7 linked regions of the Rattus norvegicus genome follow. The protein of the gene in region 6 interacts with the protein of the main gene of each other region in a biochemical or structural test. Links are inferred from orthologs where the notes say so. Each region holds a gene or a part of one and is shown on either strand. Other genes may lie near its edges. The genes, in order: Cdc73, Erbb4, Frs2, Insr, Kit, Ptpn11 and Sirpa.

Region 1 (3,500 bases), on a different chromosome or scaffold from region 6:
TGTCATGTGACATCTATAAGTCTCTGACAATTCACAAGCAAGGACAAAACTAAGTAATGTTCTTAGTTCTAAAGTACATAAACACTTAATGCATATGCATAGATTATTTTTAAAGTATAAGGGCTATGCATCAGGATATAAAAATACAAAATGACATTAATAGTATACCCGACTTACATCATCAAATACTATCATTTACTACATAATAATTAGAAGTGTTAAGGAGAAGTTGGCCAAGCTATTTCTGAATAGCTACTACTGTTCCAGCTACTCAGGAAGTTGGAGTTCAAGCCTTCTTTAAGTCCAAATGAAAACAATATAGAAAGAGTCATAAAGACAGTGTAGGGGGACTCATCAGACACAAGAGTGAGAAAGGAGACGGAAAGAGAGAAGGAGAAAGGATTGAAAAGAAAAAAAAGAGGGAAAACAAAAGAAAAAAACAAATGAGCTAGCTAAAAGTCTTTGAATCATTCATGAATATATAAACATTTGGTTCCATCAAGAGTTTTAATAAGCATTCCCTCAAGTACTACTCTCTATTTACTAATTTAATTTGGCTAATCTGGAGACTGATCCCATGTCATTGAGCAGTCTGAACATCTAGTGCCATTCTAATTTTTCCAAAGTGAATTACATTTTAAAGAACATAAGACATTAGATTTTTAAAAAATAGCCAGTATAATCTTTAACAACATCCCAATGACACAGCATAATGTAATCATAGTTGCAATTAGTCAAAATACATATAAATTCTGCTCAGATTAGAAAGAAAAAAAAAGCATAACACTAATGAATAACATATCTATCACACAAATCTATTAACACTACAATGGTCATTAAAAATAAATATTTCAAGGAAAAAACGCTAGAGAATAAAAATTTACCATCTGCTACTCACATAAAACACCTGGAACCAACAAGCCCTGCAGTCATAACAACTTACCGTGACAGATTTCAGCGTCATGCCATGGTAGGTACCCATAGTATCGATCTTAAAACCTTCCGTTTCTACAAAGACAAAGAATCTACTATGATTTATGTATTTCAAGATTAAAATTTCAATCACAATTTACATTACAACTAACATAATAAAGCCTTGAATATACTATACAGTTTATCAAATATTTCAAAGGATTAAAAATCCTAAGACACTTGCAAAAATATATTCAATAAATGCCAAAACACTTATTGCATAGAATCTGGTTCAGATTACCTTTCAAATTTTGTTTTTAAAAAGTCACACCAAAGAACTAGAAAGAAGGCTCAGCAGTTATGAGCAGTAGCTATGTTTGGAAAAAAAACAAACAGGTAAAATTCCCAGCCCCCACTATCAGCCCACAACTACTTTAACTTCAGTGTCAGGGAATCTGATTCCCTCTTGGGCTCCATGAACACCAGGCACATATGTGGTGCACAGACACATATAAGCAAAACATCCAAATACATAAAAATGAAATAAAAAAATTAAATACTAAACAAAAAAACAGAATAGCCTTATTTTTACTACTAGCTACTAAATGGTTTATATACTAAAAGTATATAAAATAGGAAATTCCTAAATTACAAAAACTTTGGTTCCAAAGTATAATCTAAGGGATATATTGTTATACACTGAGTAGAAACTGGTGCTCTAACAAGAGTTTTTAGGTACGCAAGTGCAACATGCTGTCTCCTTCCTCGCTCCTTCCCCCTCTCCCTCTCTCCCCTAAAATTAAACATTTAACTCTATACATACATACCACTTTAGCTTTCACTCTTGTTATGGTCAATTAACTAATGGCAGTCAATTTGGGTGTTTGACAATATTTTACCAGGTGAAAGAATGATATAAACATACGGTATGTATGTTATTGAAATAAAATATGCACTCCTTAAATTCCATCAAGGTTACGTGACTATCAGTGAAAGAAATTTAATTGAAAAATTGTTTTCATAGAGTATATGTTCTAATCTTCTTATGAAAGCTCATACAGCAAGTATTTGTGCAAACTAGAGTCCATATGCCTTTGTGTCTGTCATCTGTAAGATTTTGCAGTTGTGGTGTAGAAACAAGAAGAATCTATGTGTATACTTGGAGAAGCTAGAGTTGGGCTTTATAAAATTAGATATGCTATGAAGAGCTTTATGTAATTCATTCCTTCCAAAACACCAAAGTGAATAAAAGATGGATCCCTATCTTTCTGTGGCACCTTTATCTGGTAAATAAAGTCAGCACACACAATCCTTTTTAAAAAGTTGCCCAGAGACTTCAGATAATACAGAAAAAGATAGCAAATGTTCAGTTGTTTCTATCTCAAATCTTCCTAAGGGCAGTCAAGATGAGTGAAGTTCTCAAGTGAAACTAGTGAAAGTTTACCTCACTAACATTCTGCTTATCAGAAGTGGCTCCCAATTATATTAGCTACAGTGTCAATCAGGCTGTCACAAAATAAGCTCTCACACTTTGCTGCAAGTCTATGCTTGGAGCATAACTATGAATGTACATTCATAGTTAGGGAAATTAACACATGACATTTTACATCCCCAAATTTTTTATATTCAAAACTAGCATCAATAATAGCAAACATTTGTGAGTAGTTTATTATATTATCAAATATTACACTAGGAACTTCATCTTTAGCACCAGGTTTATCCCCAAAGTAACTATGAAATAAGTTGATAATACTATTAATAAATATTTAATTAGAGATGTGAAATAAGAGAACACAGTCCAAATAACAATAAAATCTACACAAAAATTAACTGAGACACACACAAACCACCTGGATCCAGAATCAAAGATACAACAAGTGGTTAACCAACTTTGTTCTTGTAAAGTCCAAATACTATTTTTAGGTATTGCAGAATGACCTCTGTCAAAACTACTCATCAGAGCTGTCAGCTATAGATAACACATAAATGAATAAATATGGCTAGATTTAAGCAACAATAACAAAAAAAGCTTTTATTACAAAAAGAGATGACTGAACTAGACTTGTACTACGGAAGTTAATTAACAAGCCTTATTCTTTTTTTTAAAATATGAGTACACTTCAGACACACCAGAAGAGGGCATGTGATTCCATTACAGATGGTTGAGATCTTAACTGTTGAGCCATGTCCCCAGCCCTGACAAGCGTTATTCTTTTCTTTTTTTTTTTTTTTCTTTTTTTTTTTTTTTTTTTTTTCGGAGCTGGGGACCGAACCCAGGGTCTTGCGCAAGCGCTCTACCACTGAGCTAAATCCCCAACCCCAAGCGTTATTCTTAAATATCACGCTATACTACCACTAAAGTTCATCATGACCATGATTAGAAGACACAGGATAAGCAACTTACCTTCTTTGCCTTTGAATCTTTCTTGGTCATATCTGTTGTAGGCAGCTGGAATAGGCTGTTTTGTACGCAATGTAGGATCCTAGAAAAAAAGTTGCTAGTTAATATCTTTAAGTATTACTTATTTAACACTCACAATGAAAAACTGATAGGGCACTTATAAAATAACTGTAATTATCAATACGGC
Region 2 (2,487 bases), on a different chromosome or scaffold from region 6:
CACAAAAGCTGGATTGGCCATTCTTACTTGCCAAGAAAGAAACTATTGGAGAAAGAAATTGGCTTCTCAATCTCAGTTACTATCAAATGGTGTCCAACTGCTTATCTTTTTGTTCTAATGGAAGCCTTAGAATGATTTCAGGGATGCTTGAATATGCACAAGACTATGGCTACAGATTAGAACAGAGTCTGGGCTTCCGATCATCACCAGCATTGATAGATTAAAGGGAGATGGGGACAGGGAGAGAAGGAGGGAGAGAGTGCAGAGTGCAAAGAGAACAAAGATGGGGCTCTTTGACAGCAGGCGGTATTGGTATTGCCTTACACTTCCTAGACCTTCTCTAGCTCTGACAGACACTCTGTTAACCAACCCATATGAAGAAATGAAGAAACAGTGTGTGCCCCTCTGTCTTTCTCTTTCAGTCTTTCCTTCTAATATTCAAGTTAGGTAAGCACGGAACTATCATTGCGTCTCTACGGCTTCCACTCGGAAGTGTCAAAACTACTGGCCTTGGGAGAAGAAGGAAGACTGCCAGAGAAAGAGGAGGGAGAAGGGAAATGGAGCGGGTGTGTGTTTCTCCACCTAACACTCTAGCTGAGCTCACACCACAGTATTCCGGTGTCTGTAGGGCGGAGGGGGCAGCATAGTGCCTGGCTTCAGCGAGAACTCTGAGAGGTACTCAGGATTCTCTGCCACAATAGGGCGGATCCGTCCATTCTGTTTATAAAAATATTTTGTGCTGTATTCCTGCAGGTAGTCTGGGTGCTGAAGAGTGCTCCGGGGTGGCAGGCTGTGGTTCCAGTAGTCGGGGTTGTCAAATGCTTTCTTGGCTTTCTCTGGCACAGACAGTAAGCTGTTTTTCATGTACTCTGCATTTCCCAAGGCGTTGGTGAAGGTGTTGAGATAAAGGGGCTCATTCACGTACTCATCCTCTGCCTTGGGGGGACCGCTGGAAGCGCTGTGATACTCTGGATTATCTAAAGCTTGAAGGTCTCCATTCTTCCTCCGGGACACAAAAGGGTTCTCTTCCACAGGATTCAGATATTCTGAAATAATACAAAGATACTACGTTCAGACATCTACTTCTGGAAAACCATAATCAGGTTAAAGTTAACAGCAATGGTCAGTTTCTTTAGAACAAGGGAGCTATGAATTTGTTTTCATAAATTCTCAGACAAAATGAAACAAAGCAAAACAAACAAGCAAAACAAAACAAAAACCTGAAGATTTTATCGGAATGTGGAAAGAGAGTAGGCTCAAATGAAACAAAATAGTGACAGAAAAGTTAAGGGCAGAATCCCTGTATTTTAAAATATTCTTCTCTTCTAAATGCACCTAAGTGCTTCCTTTTATTGGGGCTGTTAGGATGGTATACTTGTTCTGCTAGTGGAGAAAGTGGTTAAAGGCTTGCGGACTTTACAGCCGGCCCGAGTTTGGTTCCCAGCATCAATACAAGACCACTGATGACAACCTGTAACTCTAGCTCCAGGGGATCTGATGCTCTCTTCTGGCCTCCAAGAATAACAGCACACATGTGACATAAACACAGTTATGAACACAAAGAGACACACACACCAATGCACAGATATAAGCACGTATACATATAAAAACAAACTAAAAATTTCCCCAAAATACCCTCTAGACAGAAATTTTCATTTCTGTTTATTATCCATCTATCATTTATCTAAGCTATCATCTATCTGTCTATCTATATGTATCTGTCTACCATCTATTCTGCGATATAGTCATCAAAACCCTCATTATACGATGTTAGGTCATTTAGGGATCAGTCGCTTCTGTTTTATAAACAGTGAACAAAGTCATATAATGATGATTTCATAGGGTTTCACACAGTTCTCTTCTAAATGCACCATATATGGCTTCTAATGACACTGATGGATATCATCCCGATTCCTACATTTAATAACCATTATTTCTCTTCTCCGCTTGTTGTATGGATATATTAGAAGGAAAGAGAATTTTTGGGTTTGATTTTAAAACTGAAATGTTATTTAACCTGGGTGTTTAACTTTTCTGTGTTTATTAACTCACAAACTAACAAACAATCTTCAAGATTGTGGTATGGGTAAGTGCATACAGAATCAAATATTATTTTCAAAGTATCACACACACACACACACAAATCACAATTTCCTATGGTAAACTTAGTTCTTATAGATATTTGTAAAATACTGGGATCTAAATCTGAGTTCTCTTGCGTGCTAAGAAAGCAGTCTACAACATTCACACCCCAACCCTAAGCTAGGGGAGTGAAATTGCATGGTTTAAATAAATCAGCTCGTTTATCATTGGCATAAAAAATTTTGGCCCTTTGCCAGTAACACCTGTCTTTCCAACCTCCATGCCAACTTCAACAGAGCAATGGTTCTGAAGTCCTAGAATATTATAACTCATTCAACTACTACATTAAAGATGGCGTTAGGTTGCCATATCTCAGGCTTCCTTGTCTAATACATCACTTCAGGA
Region 3 (3,500 bases), on a different chromosome or scaffold from region 6:
ATGGCTACCATAATAATCTAGATCCAATGCATAACTATGTTAATACAGAGAATGTAACAGTGCCGGCAAGTGCTCACAAAATAGACTGTTCAAGGCGTAGGGATTGCACACCCACAGTCTTTAACTTTGATATCAGGCGCCCTAGTTTAGAACACAGGCAACTCAATTATATACAGGTGGACTTGGAAGGGGGCAGTGACTCTGACAACCCTCAGACCCCAAAAACACCGACCACTCCCCTCCCACAGACCCCCACCCGGCGCACAGAGCTGTATGCCGTGATAGACATTGAGAGAACTGCTGCTATGTCCAACTTGCAGAAAGCGCTGCCTCGGGATGACGGCACGTCCAGGAAGACTAGACACAATAGTACTGACCTGCCCATGTGAGCCGGACACATTATGTCGGCGTCTGCACCTTCGCGAGCTTTCCACCAGGAAGAGGCAGCGCTTGTTCTCCTTTCTACACTAACTCCTTTTGTAGACTGATCTGTTTTCCCTGAGTATTTCCTGTGCATCTTTAAAGGGAATTAATGCAGAGCAGGTACTTCACTAATTCATGATGTTGTGCTCATCGCTGTACAGCAGCGTCCTCGTTTTTACAGTGCCTATTTACCATGAGAAGGGAAGGGAGTGCATACTGGCTGACGTAGACTCAGTGTTCTGGGTGTGTGCATCTTTCATGTTGAAGTTGTGGTTGCATTTGAACCTTTTATAAAGTCTCTTGACAGTGCACATCGCTAACATAACGCTAGGCCCTGAGAGGAATCCTGTAGGTCACTGTTCACAGGTTATGGTCTCCAGCATGCAAGGTGAGGATTTATTTCATCAGTTAAAGGCTTTTTGACCTGGGCCACACTTGTGTAAAAGAAACAAAGAGAGCCACACTTCCTTCTGTGCCAGTTAGTTCCTCTGTCCTCACTGTCACTAGAAAGAACCCAGTCTAGTTGTGTATCGGAAGGCAGAAGGGAGACAGCGCCGTGTTCTCGCCTCCTGGTGTCATTTGAAGGCAGATAGCATCTAACTCAGAGTTACAATGGGTTTAGGAATCAGTCTCAGGTCACTTTACCCAAAAACATTTGAAAGTCTACACCATGATCTATTGGTGTTTCTTTGTGATAGGTTATTGACACATTGTTTCTGGAGACATCTGTGCCATTGAATCCCACGAGCTTCAGTTTTAGCCCCTTCCATCTTGCAGCTGTCTTGCCTTGTTATAGAATATCTTTTAGTTACAACACAATGTTTGTGCACCATTTTGGAATGGGATTGTGTGTTTGCTCTCACTACTTAGTCTGAATTTTCAGTTATGGTCTTGAAGGTCCATTTGGAGCTGTTCTCTGACAGGGTTACCCTTGTCCAGTATTTATTCATCTGCTGTTTACTTTCCAAGTTGCTGACAAAAGCATCATTTGGATTTTGAATTTCATTTGTGTCCATGGGTAATCTCTTTAGTAGCTGAGAAGAAAAGGAAGATACTCTTAAAGGTTTGGGTCCCCACCAAGGGTCCTGTCCTCTCTGGGATACCCTGTGCAGCATGTTAGCAGGGGTTGTCCCAGCTCCACGGCCGCAGTCCCACTCTGCCGGCTCTGCTGTCCTCTCATGTGGGGCTGGGCTCTTCTTATCCATGATGTTGGCGAGCTGATAATGTTGCCAGCACAGCAGGTACAGGGAAGTCTTGAAGCAGTTCGATTATATCATAATCGTGAATGTGAAATGAATAAAGTTTATATAAACTGATGTGATCCCAGATTTTGAACTCTTGGAAATCAAGAACACTCCCAAACCACTGTATAGTAAATGGAAGGTTAGGCAGCCTTATGAAATAGTTTACTTGTTTTCTCTAAAGTTGAGGACGTTTCGTGTTATGATCTGGTTATACCAGATGTGACTGAAAAAAAGGTTTCAGTCATCCGACGTTCAGTATATTTAGGAACTCAGCACAGAACAGTGCCTGGATTAGCAGAATAGGACTGAGGCCATGAGAAGCGAATTACATGTGCTCATCTTTAGTGCCATTGGTTTATAGCATAGCAGGCGTTTCCTTTTCCTTTTCCCTCTGTGAACTAAAATGTTGACTGTTCTCTTCAAGAGAGTAGTGGCTACATGTGCTGTTTCCATGGTTAATACACTGTTCCCCACTCGTCCTTCTCCTGAGTAGTTTGTCCTTCTCCTGAGTAGTTTGCTAGTTGTGCCAAATTTCACTGGTGGTTTTGGTGGCGTGGGGTAAGGACACTGACGGGAACAGCGTACGACTTCCTCTGTAACGAGCAGCCAGACAGGAGTAACTCTCCACCTCAGAGGACTCTTATCTCTGGGCTGGATGCTCTGTTCTTCCTTTGTGCTCCTGGCTTCCCTTCCGATTGAACTTAGAGTCATAGTTTTTAGCTGACCAATACCACCATTACAACTTGTGCTTCAAGTAGTATATGGCCTAAGAGTGCAAATGGGACCGCTTCATCTGCTAAGAATTTGATTTTAGGGTACAGCATGAATATTAGGAAGAGGTAAACAGGGATGTTAATTTCTAGATGTCTTCTGGAAACCACCTTTGTTTCTGTTTAGTCAGTCATGCAGAATACCTGTATCCTTTACAGTCGTCTCACAGTGACATTGAGCTCGGCCCTGGAAGAATGTACCTGCTACTATTTGGTAAACTTTAGAGTGAGACATTTCACTGGCATGTATTTGTAGCCATATGTCTCAGATTTTCTGAAGCAAACCTAATTTTAGATAATTGGTTTTGTTGATTAGATCATGTGACCCCACTTTTTGGTTTTGGAAATAAAATCCCTGCTCCCTTTTTTCTCCCCATATAAAATCCTTTTTTAGTCCATATAGATCTTAACATTTCTTTTCCAGACCAGGGCTGGAAACTGATGGGTATCACTAGTGTTTTCTGAATGTTGTGTTTCCCAGTTTCATCTTCCTTTGAAAAGTGAAAATATGGTGCCTTTCCTCCTTTCCTCCTTCCTCCCTTCCTCCCTCTCTCCAAGAAGATTGGAAAGCCGTTCCTTTATCTCCTGCTGCTGTGGAGGTGATGAGACATGCACTTTACTCTTGAAGACTCAGCAAATGCTAAGCTTTTCACTTCTCAGTATCTCCACAATAGGCTGCATTTCCGACTTAGGGCATTTGCCAGGCAATCTTTGCCATTACAGATATTAATGCTGCCCCCTCCACTGTGCACTGTGTTATAAGTCAAACGTGTTTGTTTATGCTCCCACTGCACCCACCCGAATCTGTGGCACAGCGTATAAAATGTACCTCACTAAAGTTCTGTTAAAAATGGGACAGGGGCCTTACGTTCTCATAACTCCCAGCAATGTGCCACCATGTATTTGCCTCAAGGCAGAGGTTTAACGAGCTAACAAGTACTTCCCAGCTCCCATGTGCTGTCTTCTACCCACAATACCCAAGTGTTTGTGCAATGTGTAGTGCGTATGTATAAATATATACATATTATATATATATATTCTTTAGAGACACCATTCAGAAGTA
Region 4 (4,181 bases), about 35 Mb from region 6:
CTGTCCTTTCTTCCCATGCAAAAGCCAGAGGCTCTGAAGAGGTGCGGGAAGGACTCACGAGATCATATTTATTGTCGTTTGGGTCTCCTGTAGCCCAGGCTGGCCTCAAACCCACTACGGAGCCCAGGGTGACCTTGAACCCCTGATAGACCTGCCTATATCTTCAGACTGCTATGATGACAGGCAGACACACGGTTTCTGTGAGTTTAGGGATGAAATCCAGGGACTTCGTGCGCACACGGGGAGCACTACACTCTGGCCATACACCCAGTAGGCTCACTGCACAAGTCCTCTGTGTACCAGTAGGGAACAAACATTTATGTGCACCTACTACGTGTCCAGCACTGCTGAGGTTCTAACATCAGTGAGGAACAAACACCAGGCCCCGTCCTCGCGAACCCTGCAGGTATACAAAGCCACAGAAGCTCTGTTTTCTGAACTCAGGAAATCCAGGCACAGACGAACAATTAATTACCAAAAGAATGTAAAAACAGAACTCAAGGGACGACACTAGGTGCCCGAGTGCACAGCCACACATACAACATACCCCTACTTCCCTAAGGCAATCCCAAAGAGCCCCAGGGAGCAGTGTAGATGTTAACAATTCTTAGATTTCCTTAATGAGAACCCAAACCATGGACTGGGGAGAAGGCTCATTAAGTGAAAACCCTTGCTGCCCAAACATCGGAACCTGAGTTCAGATCCAACCACACACACACATAAAAGCCAGCACTTCAGGACACATCTATAACCCTAGTGACAAAAGGAGGTACGGGAGGGCTGGGGCTCACCGACTACACAGTACAGTCAAATCAGCAAACTCTAGGTTCATTGAGAGACCCTGTCTCAAAACACAAGGTCGAGAGTGACAGAGACAAACACCCAAAGTCAACCTAGGGCGTCTGCAAACACACACACACACACACACACACACACACACACACACACACACACCCCAAATCAATGGCCATCCTTCATTGAGCACCTTCTGTATATCAGATGCTGGGGACCTCATTACCAGGTTAACAGATCCACTCCATAAGCTCAACCCAATCTGTTCCAGAATCCTGCAGTCTCCCCCCTAATACGCACACCTCCCTCATTCACAAAGGAGCTGCAATTCCTTCTCTCCTGGACCCCTTCCTCCTGGTAATTAATTTCCATTTTCAGAGAAAGCTGAACCAGTAACTCAAAAGGCATTTGTCACTGCATTTTTTTTGTTTTTTTTTTTTTTTTTTTTGTTTTTTTTCAAACAGTGCCTAACCTAGCCCAGGCTGGCCTCAAACTCAATCAATAGCTGGGCTTGCCACAAGCAACTGGCTATCCTCCTGCCTTGGCCATAACCAAGCACAGAAGTATAAGACCAGCCTCTGAACGAGTGAGTTTAGCACGCTAACTGAACCTCAGTTTAGCCCTCTGTGAAATGGGTGTGCAACACTTTTGGCCTCAGGGGAACACTGGGAGGTTCTAGGGCAAACCAGCCTGGAGACTCATAATCATTCTAATTATAACCATCCTGAAAGCTACCCCTACTGTTACTATGATTGCTGTGGGGCCAAAGGTATGTAGACTTTGCCTCTAGACATCTGAAAGTAGAAACTTATAAACACGGCAGCCATGAACTTATTATACACAAAGGGTCGCTTCTCCATCGATGAGGATACCCCGGACTTTGCGTTTAAACTGCTCAGGTGTCTGAATCTGTTGCACCCCAGTAACCATACTTACTTAAGGCAACCCCAAAGAGCCTCGGAGGGCAGATTTGGGTTTAGAGAAAAGAACAGACACGACTGAGAGGTGCACTGGGGACAGACAGCGGAAGGCTGGGCGGGCACTGGGGCAAGGTTCCTCAGACCCGAGATGGGCATACGCGGGGTACAGAGCCACAAACCCAGCGGGCAAAGGCCAAGGTCAGCCGGCTTCACGCAGGACCAGGGCCACCAAGCCCACTTTTCCCCCTTCCCCAGGGGAAAGGTAATCACTCACTAGGGAGGGGACTCTTCATAGACACAAGGACACTAGGGGAGTCCTCAACCTAAGTCCTTGGAGAGGGAGGTCTAGGTTGGCCGAGGAAGAGAAATGTCCATAACTCTCAGTCCTTAGGACTATCTTGCTGGGGTGGTGAAATGGGTGCCCTGAGTCCTTTATGGGGGAGTTGGTGCTCTTAAGTTGTATGGAGCGATGGGAAGGGTGTCCATTACTCAGCCCAAAGGGAGAGTTCTCTATGTGGGCTGTGGCAGTGGAGAGGGGGTGTCCTCGACCCTCACTCCTTAGGGTGAGGGCTCTAGGTTAGCTGGGGCGGTGGGAGGAGTGTCCCTGACACACTGTGATCGCCCCGTGTGCCAGACTTACCCTCTCCAGGGTACAGGTGGCCGGCTGTGCCCACCAGCAACGCGGCCACGGCCATCAGCAACGGCACCGCCGTCGTCTCACATCCTCTCCCGGAGCCCATAGCAGTAGGAGCGCTGGGACCCCGGCGATCAGAGCACGCCACGCCGGCCCACTGGGGACATACTCCGCGAGAAGGTCGCTGGAGAGGCAGGCGCTAGGGGCCGCACGTCCTTCTCTTCCACGCCGGTGGCTTACGGGCCGCAGATCTCCAGCCTAGAGGGCCCTGGGGACAGTCCTGGGAAGAGCACACAGGCCTCGGCTGCAAGCAACACTGTGGCGCGGCCCGCAGACTACAACCCCGGGTCACCCAGGCCCGGTCCTGTGTCCGCAATCGCAGAGTCCAGAGCTCACCAAGGTGCGTCCCCTGGCCGGGTCTCCCGTTTCTCCTCTCCGCGCAGCTCTGGGTGGGTCGCGTTGTGTGGAGTCTGAGACAGAGGGACGCGCGCACGGGAGGGCACCTGGGCTGGTGGCGGCGGCGGGAGCTAGGGCTCGACTCCGGCCAGTAAACAACGCGGCCCGTCAGCTGGGCCCGCGCGGGCCAAGGGAAAAGGTGGCGCGGATTAAGGCAGGGAAGGGACTGCGCGCACAAGTGAGGCCCGCTGGGGGGGGGGGGGGTGGGGTAGGGAGAGACAAGCCAGCGGAGCTCTGGGAGGCGTGGCCAGAGCTGGCAATGCCACGCCTTCTCGCCCCTTTGCCCGCTCGCCCAGTCGCCTCTTCGACTCCTCCTGTGGAGCCCCCAACTTCAGAGGCCCGGCGTGCACCCCAGACTCTTCCAATCCACACACCCCGAACTGCCGATTTAGAAAGGTTACGATTTAAAAGCTTGTAAGTGCTGGGTTCGGTCCCCAGCTCCGAAAAAAAGAACCAAAAAAAAAAAAAAAAAAAGCTTGTAAGTGTTCTCAGATACCAGTCTGACATAAACACCCAAACAACTCTGAGACTCCCCTGTCAGACGTCGGGAGCTGCCCCCAAAGAGTTCCAAGGTTCCTATTTAAAAGCCTAGGGAGGGCTGGAGAGATGGCTCAGCCGTTAAAGGCTAGGCTCACAACCAAATATATTAAAGCCTAGGGAGCCCCAGATCCCCTCCTAACGCGAAAACCACTAACAGGCCTGAGGTTCCAATGTAAAAGCCTAGGGACGCCCCCAGGTCACCTCCAGACTGCAGCAAACACAAATAACACCGAGGTTCCAATTTAAAGGTCTGGAGCTCACTCTAGATCTCCTCCTGGTTCGGACACCCCAAATGGTCCCGAAATAACAATTTAAAAGCCTGGAAATGCCCCCCTCAGATTCCTCAGGGCATGAACATCCCAAACAGCTCTATAGCCTCGAGTCTCTGATCACAACGTGGGAGCGCCAATATGCCCCCAGATGCCAGATTCGACCAAGCAGACCTTGACTTTCTTTACTCTTTTTACTACTTTTTGACTCCCGTGGGGAATTCAGTTTAATTCTTTACTCTTGATTCTGTTTCGCTTTACAACCTCTGCTCCTAATGCCTTACTGGATTCTCCCAACCCTTGCTCTGTCTAGGAGCTAGTGGGAGCCCAACAAGTTCCCTCCCCAGTGAGCTCCCGCCCAGCAGCGTGGCTGCACCAGCCTCCAGGCCAGAGCCACGTGTCCACAACGCAGGCAGCCTGTGCTCCCTGGCCTGAGCCCCTCCACCCAGCGCTGAATTCCAGCAGAAATCAATAAAGAAATGACTCCGAGAAGAACATAACAAGGCGTCTAGAACAACGGTAGAAACTTCATATAGGATCAGGGCAGACATATTCCATTTTCAACACACA
Region 5 (3,500 bases), on a different chromosome or scaffold from region 6:
GTGGCCATTATATCCATCTTCAGTGGCTAAGCCTTCTTAGTCCCAACATAATTCTATCTATTAGCATCGCTTATCACAAAAGGCAACATGGCGGAGAGTGACACAGGACAAGCAAGCCCCTTTCTACCTGAGCGTCTAAATGACATGAACATTCGGGGCCAGGCATGACTGCTGGCTTGGCAACCACAAGTGACTGCTTTCGAAGGCTCTACTATGATCAAGTATCCTACAGGGATCCTTTGATTCACTTCTGTGTACGGCAGGCATGGTTCTGCCTCCTTGCTGTAATGTTACTATGAAAATGAAGGACTCATGCTGCAGCCTGGTAGGAAGTAGCCCCAGAGCAGCCAAGCCCACAGTGGAGAGTGGGCGAAAAGCCTGAAATGACCCGGTTTCCTGAGCATTACTACTTGAAAACAGAGTTGTTGCTTGGGAATGTTTAAAGAGCGCAGTTTTAACAGGCCACTAATTGAGTAGAAACTGCCTCGTGAACAACTCATGGTGTGTAGAAGCACCAGTTACAGGGGCTGTCTGGAGACACTGTCTAGAGCTGCCTACTGTCCCGTGGTCCTCCCTAGACAGACAGCAACAGCTCACCTCACACTCCTTTGTTTCCTGTAGGACAAACAAGAGGCCTTCTGGAAATGTCAAGACACCCTCGATGGGAACGCTGACTTAGGGGCAACAATTGGAAGCTTGTTTTTAATGGAAGGGAAAAGCTTGTTCTACCTTGTGGTGCATTTGAAAACCGGGAGGCTCGGGGCCCCTCTCAGTTATAGACGGCAAATCAACATTAACTCCCAAGTGACAGATTATAGCACAGCAATAAATAAAGCTACCCCGGCCCTCGGGATGATAGAACCAAAAATTGCATCTCTATGTGCTTACACTGTTTAAGGGGGAGAGTATTATAATTCAACACACACACACACACACACACACACACACACAATATCTAATGAGGAAGGGGTGTGTGTGTGTGAATGGCTCCCCATAAAGAGAAATCCTGTATGCACCCAAAAGTTTGTGGGAGTTTAAAACATTCTACTGAGGGTGCAATAGATGTCCTTTGGACTATAGCGGGGGTTGGGGGAGATAAAAGAATCTGAGTAATGGGCACCAAATATGGCTGCAGTGAGTGGTTCTAACACAGCCACGGCCCACATCTCAAACTAACAAGAGGACAGGAGTCTGAAGGCTCCCAACACTCAGGAATGATAAAAATCTACATTCTTAGGAACACCGTGGAAAACCAAACCCAGTGAAACAGAACAAAGCGCTCGGTTGAAAAATCTCTCTCAAATAGTTTACAATTAAGCACTGCCTGGATCATACTTGAGAGGCGGACAGAGGGCAACAGGCGCTGCAGACCCAAGACTCACCTCCCACGGTACACGCTCCAAGGAGGTTGACGATATTCATGTGATTACCCAGGTAGCTCAGGACCTTCAGTTCTGACATTAGGGCCTCCCTTTCCGTTAAATGGGCACTTGCTAAAACGGGAAACGGTGTATTTTAGCAAAAAAAAAAAGGGGGGGGGACTATTAGACAAACTGGTGGTCGGTACAGAAGTAAGCACCCCGGAGACACTTACGTTTGAGCATCTTCACGGCAACCGTCATGGCGGCATCCGACTTAATTAAGCCATAGGCAGTGGCCTCAACTACCTTCCCAAAGGCACCAGCTCCCAAGGTCTTTCCTTTAGGAAGGGAGAAGGCAGGGTCAGCGGAAAGAACAAACAACAGTGTTCACAAGGTTCCCAAATCAACAAGGCAATCGAAAACACGTGTGACCGGAGCTGCCTCTCCACAGGATTCTTTTCGCTAACCCTGCCAACTTCTGTGCAGTTTGACAGAAAAGCACTTCTTGTTTTAGGTGAAACAAGGCAAGGAAGCCACTGCGGGTTCCCTAAAAATCACAGTTACGTGTACACAAAAGGGCAGCGTGGAAAGCACCTGCTTCCTACTGACCAAAACTCAGCCTGTTTCTGGGAAACTCCCATTTGTGGTCATAAGGAAGCTGCGTTGGGTCTATGTAAACATAATTGTTCCCATTTATCTCCTCGACAACCTTCCATTGTACTTCATACATGGGTTTCTGGAGGAGAAAGGAAAGAGAGATGTGTCACCATTGAATGATCAGCACCTCCCCTGTCAGCAGCAGCGGCCCAGGGAGAGAACAATTCTACGCTCACCTGCAAATATTTGTAGGCAAGAACCATCACAATGATCCCCATCAAGCCGGCTGTGACCACGAAGCCAATGAGCAGCGGCGTGAACAGGGTGTGGGGCTGGATTTGCTCTGCAAGGGGAGAGAATTGTGATTGTGAGCTGACGACGGCCTGGCCACCACCTGTCCCAAACTAAACCATTTCCCTCATGGCGCATGCAGGGAATGCATCTTTCTCTTGCTGTACAAATACAAAGTCTCTCCCTCTCCTTCCTTCCTTCCTTCCTCCCTCCCTCCCTCCCTCCCTCCCTCCCTTCCTTCCTTCCTTCCTGGTGCTAGGGCTGGAACCTGGGTATGTGTTTTGGAACATCACGATGCCCATAACCGCACCCTTACTAGCTGCACAGACCTCTTCAGAGATGTAAGTTGAAACCAGAGGCCAGAGAAACTGACATTTCTGAAGTAACGCACATGATGTTATGCTGTTTTCAATGAAAAGCAGCATCTGAGTGGACCTCCTTTCTGGGTGGTTTACATTTGCTTCTTTCTGCTCTCTTACATTTTCTAAATTTTCTACACTGAATGTAAATGTCTTCCCACATCGAGGGAAGACATTTTTGAAGCATCCTTTTCATTGCTCTGTCTGGGAAAATCAGCAACAGAGAAGGGTGCTATGATTCAGCCCCTCCTCATCCGAAAGCTGAAGATACACAGCCTTTTGGCATGAGTCCTATGGCCAGTGCTAAATTCCACAGAAACTGGGCACTAAAGAAACTCAAGGGTCTCAGATATACCCATCCACCAATGCCTACAAAGGTCATCTGGCCTGCTAGTCACCCAGTGGCTAGATAAAGAGCCTAGGTGACAGAGGCCATCTACATAGCATGCAGTGAGCTCTGTATGAGTCTGATGATGCAGATGGGTAAGCACATACACACATACACACACACATACATACATACATACATACATACATACATACATACAAATAAAATGGGATCTTGTCATTTGCTGACAAGATCATGTAAAGGATATTGTGAACATTTCAATACATATGTTTAACAAAATGTAACGCATCTTAAATAACTGAAATTTTAAATTGAATTTAACATTTCTATTTACTTTTTATTTATTTTTTTTTTATTATACATGTGTAGCTGTCTTCAAACACTATAGATGACTGTGAGCCACCCTGTGGTTGCTGGGAACTGAACTTGGAACCTCTGGAAGAGCAGTTAGTGCTCTTAACTGCTGAGCCGGCTCCCCTTTGAATTAAACAATTTCTTTTTTTTTTTTTTTTTTTGGTTCTTTTTTTCAGAGCTGGGGACCGA
Region 6 (4,036 bases):
TGCTAACCAAAATGAACTGTTTTAGGACTAGAGACAGTGGCACCGCCAAAGCAGAGGCAGGTGGCTCCGAGCACTCAAGGTCAGCCTGTTCTGCGTAGAAAGTTCTAGGCCAACTGGTATGACATGATGAGACCCTGTCCAGCTTTACCGTGATGATTAAGTAAAACAAACATCAATATGGTGTTCGCCATCCAAGTGTCAGTTCCTATGATCACTTCCTCAAAGAGACCTTCCCTGAATCCCCCGTCAGAACGCAGAGCCTTCTTAGCTCCTCAGGCCAGCACAATAGCTCAGTGTGAAAACGTACACTGCTAACAACCTGAGTTCCATCCCGAGGATGCAATTGTTTTCTGACTTCCACATGTGAACACGAACACGAACACACACACACACACACACAGAGAGAGAGAGAGAGAGAGAGAGAGAGAGAGAGAGAGAAAGAAAGAGGGAGAAAGAGTCAATAACTGAGATCATGGAGAGGAGAGAAAACAAAACACGTGTACTAGTTATAAACAGTTGCTGCTCTTGCAGAGGACCCAAGTTTCATTCCCAGCACTCGTGTGAGGCAACTTAAAACCACCTTTAACTACAAGTCCAAGGGCTCTGACACATTCCTCGGACCTCTGTGCGTGCACACACAATATTAAACAAAAAAACATAAAAAAAAAAAAAAGAAAGAAAGAACCAAGACCATTCGGGACTGACGTGAAGATACAGAAAAATCCATGGAAGAGAACCGAGTCAAGAAACAAACTCACATGAAGGACAAGTATCCTTCAACAATGGAGCAGACTCTACCTGTGGAGAGGTTCCCCAGCAGCTGTGCTGGGACAACTGGAGAGCCCCATGGAATAGAGAGCAGGAACCCACACTTCACACAGTAATCAATTACTGACCCCAGGAATGAGGCATACACATGCATTCACATGCTTGCAAGCTACCTATACATGCAAAATCAAAACAGATCTTTATAAAACTAGGAAATCAGAACTCAAAGATACAGACAAGCTGTATGCAGCCCTCACAGAGTAAGACTGGAAAGTAAACAGTGACAGCCCTTCTGTGGGCAGGCTGCAAGTGCCTGTACACAGTAAATTCAGCCATTCAACTTGTAGATGGCCACCGAAGAGGTGAGACCATACTGAGGCCTTTGCAGGAGCATTCTCAGAATCACATGTGAGTGACAAATTCTAGAGACAGCCAAAGGTCTGTCAGAAAGGGTAAAAAAGGAAACAGCCCTACAATGGGAACGCTATACAATTGGCAGCAGCCGAGTAATAGAACTCTAGCAATATGGATGGATCTGTGAACGTGGACGCTGTACGCTACGCCGGGGTGTGGCGGCACGTGTCGCCAAGCCTGACAACCTGAGTTCAATCCCTGGAACCTGTGTGGTAGTGAGAGCCAATCTCCATGTATCAATTTCCGACCTACAAATGCATACCATGCCTTGGGTCCACACACAATGAATAAATACATGTTAAAAAAAACTTTCAATAATAAAAATCAGGACACCCCCCCCAAAAAAAAACAGTCCATAGTTGTCTAATGTCATTAATACAAAATTCTAGAAAAGTAACAACCAAACAGTGGTCGAAGGAGAGCAGAGGACTGGTAAGAGAGAGCTGAGAAAACCTTACCAGGAGTGGTGACATCTCCCAGATGTCAAGGTTTATCATGTTGTCTGCCGGATCAGAAGCAACTTATCTCAATAAAGCTGATTTTAAAACTAAATAAAACAAGCTTTTATAGTGATCCAGACTGTATAACCCCAGCACTTACAAGGTTGAGAGGTAACGGGAATGTAAGTTGGAGGCTAACCTGGGCAACACAATGAGAGATTCTCTTTCCACCTCTTACCAAGGTAAAAGGCCACAATGTACTTAATTCTGGAAAACTCAATTTGGTCCATGTTTAGAAAGGGAGACCACCACCCACCTCGTACCACTGCGGTACGTGTTAAGCTGGCTTCTAGTAAGAGCGAAGTCAATGTCAATAATTGAGTCTCTGAAGTTGAAACTCACTAATCCTCCTCCTGATCTCAGCTTCCAATCCTATCCTGTGACGAGCACTTTACTTCCGAGCCTCAGTTTCCACATTCGTAAGACGGGAACGCACTCGTTACCCGAAGGAACAATTCCACGACCAGATACAGTTCCCTTCCCTCCCACCTTTCAAAGCAAAGATCACAGTGGGGTTGGGAACACTCCCAGAGGCTGCAGACAGATTCAGTTTTCCCACTTCTGGCACTTGGGGCGAGGGTGAGGAGGCGAAAAGGGGGCACCTGAAAGGGTCCCGTGTGAAGGCCCCGCGGTGGCCCGGGCGCCTCCCCGAGCGCGCGGGGTTATTTCGGAATCCCCAGGAGGCGACGCTCATGAGGCAATGGGTCAGGAATGCGACGGCCGGCCGGGCCGCGGGTGTCCCCACGGGCATCCCGAGTCGCGGGAGCAGGAACTCGGGGCGGCAGGAAATGAATGGGGACCCGCGGGCGGGGCGGTGGGGCGGCGGGGACGCCGCGCCAGTGGGGAGTCCGAGTGTAACCCCCAGCGGCCGCGCAACACAGAAGCGGCGGGGACCCAGGCCGCGGCCCGGCTCCTGCGGGCGGCTCACCTCCGGGATGTCATGTTCCTCCCGCCTCCGGCTCCGCACGGACCCGCTGCTCACTCAGGCTCCACGAGGCGCCGTCACATGGAGGGGGCCGAGTGAGGCCCCGCTCGGGAGCCGACACGGGAGCGGGCAGAGCCGGCCGGCCGCGCGCACAACCCCTGGCAGGCCTGGATCCCGGACACTGCGCGGCCGCCCCGCCGCCCGGCTCGCTCCGCCCTCGTCCCCGCCCCTTGCCGCCGGCGCCGACGTGAAGTCATCACGCCCGCCGCCACAGCCACTTTCTGCTTCCGGTTTGCAGGGCCCTGACCAGTGCTGGAGGTTGGGGAGGGGGGCCTCCTCCTCCTAATCTGTGCGGTTTACAGACTTGAACGCCAGGGAGATTCTTCATCTGGGACGCCGCACATTAGTGCGAGTACACACTACGCATCCAGTGCGGGTGCACACGTGAAAAGCAAACAAATAAGCGGAGGATGGGGGAACCCGAGTTCGGTTCCCAGCACCTGTATGGGGCAGCCCACAACCTCCTGTAACTTCAGTTCTACCGGATCCGCCATCCTCCGCGGGCACGTGCACATACCCACACATTTATAGATAATGTTTGATGATTTATTCCTTTTGCCTCACAAGGTGGTGTACCCTTTAATCCCAGCACTAGGGAGGCAGAGGCAGGTGGATCACTGTGAGATCGAGGCCAGCCTAGTCTGTATTGGGAGTTCCAGGACAGCTAAGTAGGGAGACCCTGTCAAAAAGAGAAAGAAAAAAAAAAGATTTATTGCTTTTTATATTTTTTTAATGTTAGTGTATTAGTAGTCGCCTTGCGTGTAAGTATGTGTGTAACTGTGTGTGTGTGTCTGATGCCCAAGGAGGTCTGAAGAGGACAACAGTCCCTGATAGAGTTACATGGCAGTGAGCCACCATGTGGGTGCTAGGAGCAAAACCCACGACCTCTGATAAAACAGCGTTCTTTACTGCAGAGCCATCTAACCAGCCTCCCGTTGATTTTTTTTGGGGGGTGGGGAGGGGGAGTTGTTTGTTTTTGAGAACAGAAACCTATATGCCATGGCCATACTTCGACAGCTTGAAGTAAGATGAGCACGGTTTTCTTCTCTTTTTGCCGTTTCACCCATATTGGGATTAGCAATCCTGACAAGTGATTCTTTTTCTTTTTTTTTTTTTTTTGGTTCTTTTTTTTTTTTTTTTTTTTTTTTGGTTCTTTTTTTCGGAGCTGGGGACCGAACCCAGGGCCTTGTGCTTCCTAGGCAAGCGCTCTACCACTGAGCTAAATCCCCAACCCCCGATTCTTTTTCTAAATTAAGAAATTTGACCTTTTCCACTTCAAAGAAACACTCCATAACTTCTCTTTTGAATGTCCAAATTTGTTAGTACCAGTGCACTACTCTGGGGGTTGGGGTGGGGTCTCTGTTAGATA
Region 7 (3,500 bases), on a different chromosome or scaffold from region 6:
TGGAGGGGTCCTTTGTGTCCTGACTGACATGTGGGAGAGCTTTCTGTCACTGACAGGCCTCGGGTTCTGAATGGAAGGGGCTTCCTGAATCTCTGTGAAAGTGATGTGTGGAGAGGCTGCATCTCCTAGAGGTTCAGTGCTTCCTAGGTCCTGGGCTCACCTGTGGGGATGCCTAATACCTGGGCAGCAAGGAGCCTGCTGGGATCTGCATTCTGGTACTCATGGTACTTGAACCGTGTGCAAGGAAGAGAGGGCCGTGGGGCGGGCAGATGAGGGATGCTAATGCCCTCTTACTTGCTAGCACTGGAACCTGGAGCTAACGATTGGCCTTGACGTCCCTGACCTGCTGAAGGTTGAGATCAGATTGTGCCCTTGTGAGCCACACTCACCGGGATGCTACTCTCTGACCTAATGCTACACCTGAGGGGATGAGGAAGGCACAGCCTACTTACCGAGTACATAGAGCGTTGTTCCCCCTCCAGATTTAATTTCTGTGTCAGGCTCTACTATTCCTTTCTGGAACTTCACACAGTAGTAGGTGCCAGCATCTTCTGGGGTGACATTACTGATACAGATGCTAAAGTCCATATTGTTTCTCTTAGTAGCATCTGAAACATTTGTAATTCGAGGAAAGTGTTCTCCTCCTATGAAACTGTAGATCGGGCTCCGATTTTGCCCTTCTCCTTTGAACCACTTAATGGGTCCCACAGGCGTCAGGGAGGACACAGTGCAGTTCAGAGTGGCCGAATCTCCAGCAGCAACAGACACTGATTTGTCAGCCTGAGTCACCTTCAGTTCTTTCCCGCTGGCTCCTGGAGAGAAAGATGGCAGCCATGATTCACCTTAAGGGATCCTACAAGCTCAAGTTTATCAATGGTTTTCACTGATTGATCACACACAGTGGTATTGAGTTCAGCACAATGTTCGGCATGTGTTATCCCCCACATGAACCTGTAAATCAAGACTGTGGTGAGAAAACTGGGGCACAGAGGGCTAAGTCACATGGTTTGGTGTAGTAGAGTGCCCAAGCCCTTTGGGGGGAAATGTCCTATCTGAGCTGGGCTCTGAAATTCAAATCTGAATTTGTCAGTGAAAATGTGTACTGGCTGGTTTTGTGTATCAACTTGACACAGCTGTAGTTAATACAGAGAAAGGCGCCTCCCTTGAGGAAAGGCCTCCATGAGACCCATCTGTAAGGCATTTTCTCAATTACTGATCATGGGTGGTGCCATCCCTGGGCTGGTAGTACTGGGTTCTATAAGAGAGCAGGCTGAGCAAGCCAGGGGAAGCCATCCAGGAAGCAGCACCCTCCGTGGCCTCTGCATCAGCTCCTGCTTCCTGCCCTGTGTGAGTTCCAGTCCTGACTTCCTTTGGTGATGAACAGTAATGTGGAAGTGTAAGCTGAATAAACCCTTCCCTCCCCAACTTACTTCTTGGTCATGATGTTTTGTGCAGGAATAGAAACCCTGAGACAAAAATGGGAGCCTGAATTCCCCCACAGAGGGCACAAACCCAGAAGTAGGAGAGCCCAGTATGTGTGGTACTTTTCAAAGAGGTAGATTCTGTACTGGAGATGGAGTCCTGAGCACACAGCAGTCTCAGTGGTAGGAGAGCTGAGAACCTGGGTCCTAGGTGTGGCTCAGTAGCGTGTGGCTGAATCATGTGGAGTCGTCATTAGGTCAACAGAGAAGGCCCAGGTGCTCGCCCTCTGCCAAGTACCATGGGGATGTGGATATGGCTTCTGCTTGAACAGTTTTGATGGCCCTTAGCCTCTGTCTCTGTGGAAGGTTTTGCAGGACTCCCATCTGGACGTACTTCTAATAGGAACAAACAAGCTGAGGCTGGTGAGTTAAAAAGCAGCGTCTGGTCTGGATGGCTCAGCGGTTAAGAGCACCGGCTGATCTTCCTGAGGACCCACGTTCAATACCCAGCACTTACATCAGGTGGTCTGTAAGTCCAAGTGCGTGCACACACACACACACACACACACACACACACACACACACACACACACACACACACATGCATATACAACACTTACTTACACATATACACAATTAAAATAAGTTATTTCTAAAAAGTAGCATCTAGGGGATAACTCAATGGATGAAGTCCTTTCGATCCAAACACAATGGTTTGCTAAACGTATGAATGTAGACACTGAGCATTCAGACACATAGACATTAGAGACGCAGTGGTCCAGAGGGGAGGACAGGAGAGGGAGGATGAGGACAGCAAGGGTGGCAGACTGCAACAGCGAGTCAGGTGATCTTGGTCCCCAGCTGGACTCTCCACCGGCTTCTAATGTGACTCTGTCTACTAGATGGCTATAGGAGGATCCTCGGGTAGCCCCTTTTGTGTTGGCAGGGTAAAAGAGGCACTGTGTGTTTGCCCATCCTCCAACCCCTGGTGTTGTGTACTATCAAGGAGAGAGGGTCTAAGGCAGGAGAGGTCTGCTGTCACTGCGGGCCCAGAGCCCTGGGATGGGCCTGTCATCAGTTGCTCACTGTCCTGCCTCACCTCTTTCCCCAGTCAGGTTTTCATGGCAGATGTGAGCAGATACCGCAAGTAAGAGCCTGGGAACGGCCTGATTCTCACAGTACAGGGAAAGAAGTGAGGCCTGTGGAAACAGGGGCTCAGCCAGCATCAGCCAGCCTAGAAGGGGTAGGGCCAGTGGCCTGGCAAGTGACAAGACGCAAGGAGGGAACAGGCTTGACAGACACGAAGCCTCCCAAGAGCATCAGTGACGTCACCAGCTCCTGCCAATAGCAGGGAGCCATGGATATTTCCCAGTGGGTGTACAACTAACCACGCAAGACCGGTTGAACTGGAACCACCACGTGCGCAGGCCGGGCCGAGAACAGGGCCCCTTTGCCAGCTCAGTATTCATAAATGGATTCACCAGCAGGCAACTGGTGTGTACACTCTGCTTTGTCATGAGGATTGTTCCAAAGCTATACATAAGCACCTGCTGTATACTTTATGGCAATTCTAGTTCTAAAACCTACCATCACATTGCTGTATTCTTTATATACCCAGTTTGCTGTCAACTGCTATTTTCCCCACCATTAGGATAAGTAGATCCACTATGAACTGTTTCTTGCCTTCTGCCTGGTATATACTGTGTCCCCGATGGAAATGGGCTCAAGAGGCAAGTGGATCTCTGTGATTTCCAGCCCAGCTAGGAAGACCCTGTCCCCAAACCACATATATGCTGAACATACTGATGAAGTGAGAAAGAACAGGTTTTATTTGCTCTATGGCCCTGACAACACCCCAAGTCTCTTCTTTCCTTCATCCGTTCAGTGGCACTAACATTCGTGGCTACCCAGGAGCTGGTGCGCCGTTATTATTACCCCGTCCTCAACAGCGCACACAACTGTGAGTCAGCAGCTGACGGGGAGCCGTGCTCAGGGGGAACTTGGGAATTGGGCTCCGACAAGTTGGAGCAGGGCTATTCTTGTGCTGCAGACAGAGGCCTGTAATCACACCCCAGGCAG

What was found.
Region 1: of the proteins of Ptpn11 (region 6) and Cdc73, one has a biochemical effect on the other in vitro, tested with the Homo sapiens proteins (2 studies listed by BioGRID and IntAct). The link is inferred for Rattus norvegicus from reciprocal best matches to the Homo sapiens genes PTPN11 and CDC73.
Region 2: the proteins of Ptpn11 (region 6) and Erbb4 form a complex in vitro, tested with the Homo sapiens proteins (2 studies listed by BioGRID, with this or other methods). The link is inferred for Rattus norvegicus from reciprocal best matches to the Homo sapiens genes PTPN11 and ERBB4.
Region 3: the proteins of Ptpn11 (region 6) and Frs2 interact in a test that uses a peptide from one of them, tested with the Homo sapiens proteins (2 studies listed by BioGRID, with this or other methods). The link is inferred for Rattus norvegicus from reciprocal best matches to the Homo sapiens genes PTPN11 and FRS2.
Region 4: the proteins of Ptpn11 (region 6) and Insr form a complex in vitro, tested with the Homo sapiens proteins (2 studies listed by BioGRID). The link is inferred for Rattus norvegicus from reciprocal best matches to the Homo sapiens genes PTPN11 and INSR.
Region 5: the proteins of Ptpn11 (region 6) and Kit form a complex in vitro, tested with the Homo sapiens proteins (3 studies listed by BioGRID and IntAct, with this or other methods). The link is inferred for Rattus norvegicus from reciprocal best matches to the Homo sapiens genes PTPN11 and KIT.
Region 7: the proteins of Ptpn11 (region 6) and Sirpa form a complex in vitro, tested with the Homo sapiens proteins (2 studies listed by BioGRID). The link is inferred for Rattus norvegicus from reciprocal best matches to the Homo sapiens genes PTPN11 and SIRPA.

The regions. Positions count from the first base shown.
Region 1 is NC_086031.1:57,965,532-57,969,031, forward strand, and holds part of Cdc73 (parafibromin), read right to left. Parts: intron 3,396-3,500; coding exon 3,317-3,395; intron 1,009-3,316; coding exon 944-1,008; intron 1-943.
Region 2 is NC_086027.1:76,980,634-76,983,120, forward strand, and holds the end of Erbb4 (receptor tyrosine-protein kinase erbB-4 precursor), read right to left. Parts: intron 1,047-2,487; coding exon 601-1,046; 3' UTR 501-600; downstream 1-500. UniProt on the Homo sapiens protein: Tyrosine-protein kinase that plays an essential role as cell surface receptor for neuregulins and EGF family members and regulates development of the heart, the central nervous system and the mammary gland, gene transcription, cell proliferation, differentiation, migration and apoptosis.
Region 3 is NC_086025.1:54,598,657-54,602,156, reverse strand, and holds part of Frs2 (fibroblast growth factor receptor substrate 2), read left to right. Parts: coding exon 1-389; 3' UTR 390-3,500. UniProt on the Homo sapiens protein: Adapter protein that links activated FGR and NGF receptors to downstream signaling pathways.
Region 4 is NC_086030.1:6,126,004-6,130,184, forward strand, and holds the start of Insr (insulin receptor preproprotein), read right to left. Parts: upstream 2,801-4,181; 5' UTR 2,453-2,800; coding exon 2,353-2,452; intron 1-2,352. UniProt on the Homo sapiens protein: Receptor tyrosine kinase which mediates the pleiotropic actions of insulin.
Region 5 is NC_086032.1:32,912,813-32,916,312, forward strand, and holds part of Kit (mast/stem cell growth factor receptor Kit precursor), read right to left. Parts: intron 2,302-3,500; coding exon 2,195-2,301; intron 2,098-2,194; coding exon 1,971-2,097; intron 1,700-1,970; coding exon 1,595-1,699; intron 1,494-1,594; coding exon 1,383-1,493; intron 1-1,382. UniProt on the Homo sapiens protein: Tyrosine-protein kinase that acts as a cell-surface receptor for the cytokine KITLG/SCF and plays an essential role in the regulation of cell survival and proliferation, hematopoiesis, stem cell maintenance, gametogenesis, mast cell development, migration and function, and in melanogenesis.
Region 6 is NC_086030.1:41,024,843-41,028,878, reverse strand, and holds the start of Ptpn11 (tyrosine-protein phosphatase non-receptor type 11), read right to left. Parts: upstream 2,801-4,036; 5' UTR 2,625-2,800; coding exon 2,611-2,624; intron 1-2,610. UniProt on the Homo sapiens protein: Acts downstream of various receptor and cytoplasmic protein tyrosine kinases to participate in the signal transduction from the cell surface to the nucleus. Positively regulates MAPK signal transduction pathway. Dephosphorylates GAB1, ARHGAP35 and EGFR.
Region 7 is NC_086021.1:137,287,054-137,290,553, reverse strand, and holds part of Sirpa (tyrosine-protein phosphatase non-receptor type substrate 1 precursor), read right to left. Parts: intron 813-3,500; coding exon 453-812; intron 1-452. UniProt on the Homo sapiens protein: Immunoglobulin-like cell surface receptor for CD47. Acts as docking protein and induces translocation of PTPN6, PTPN11 and other binding partners from the cytosol to the plasma membrane.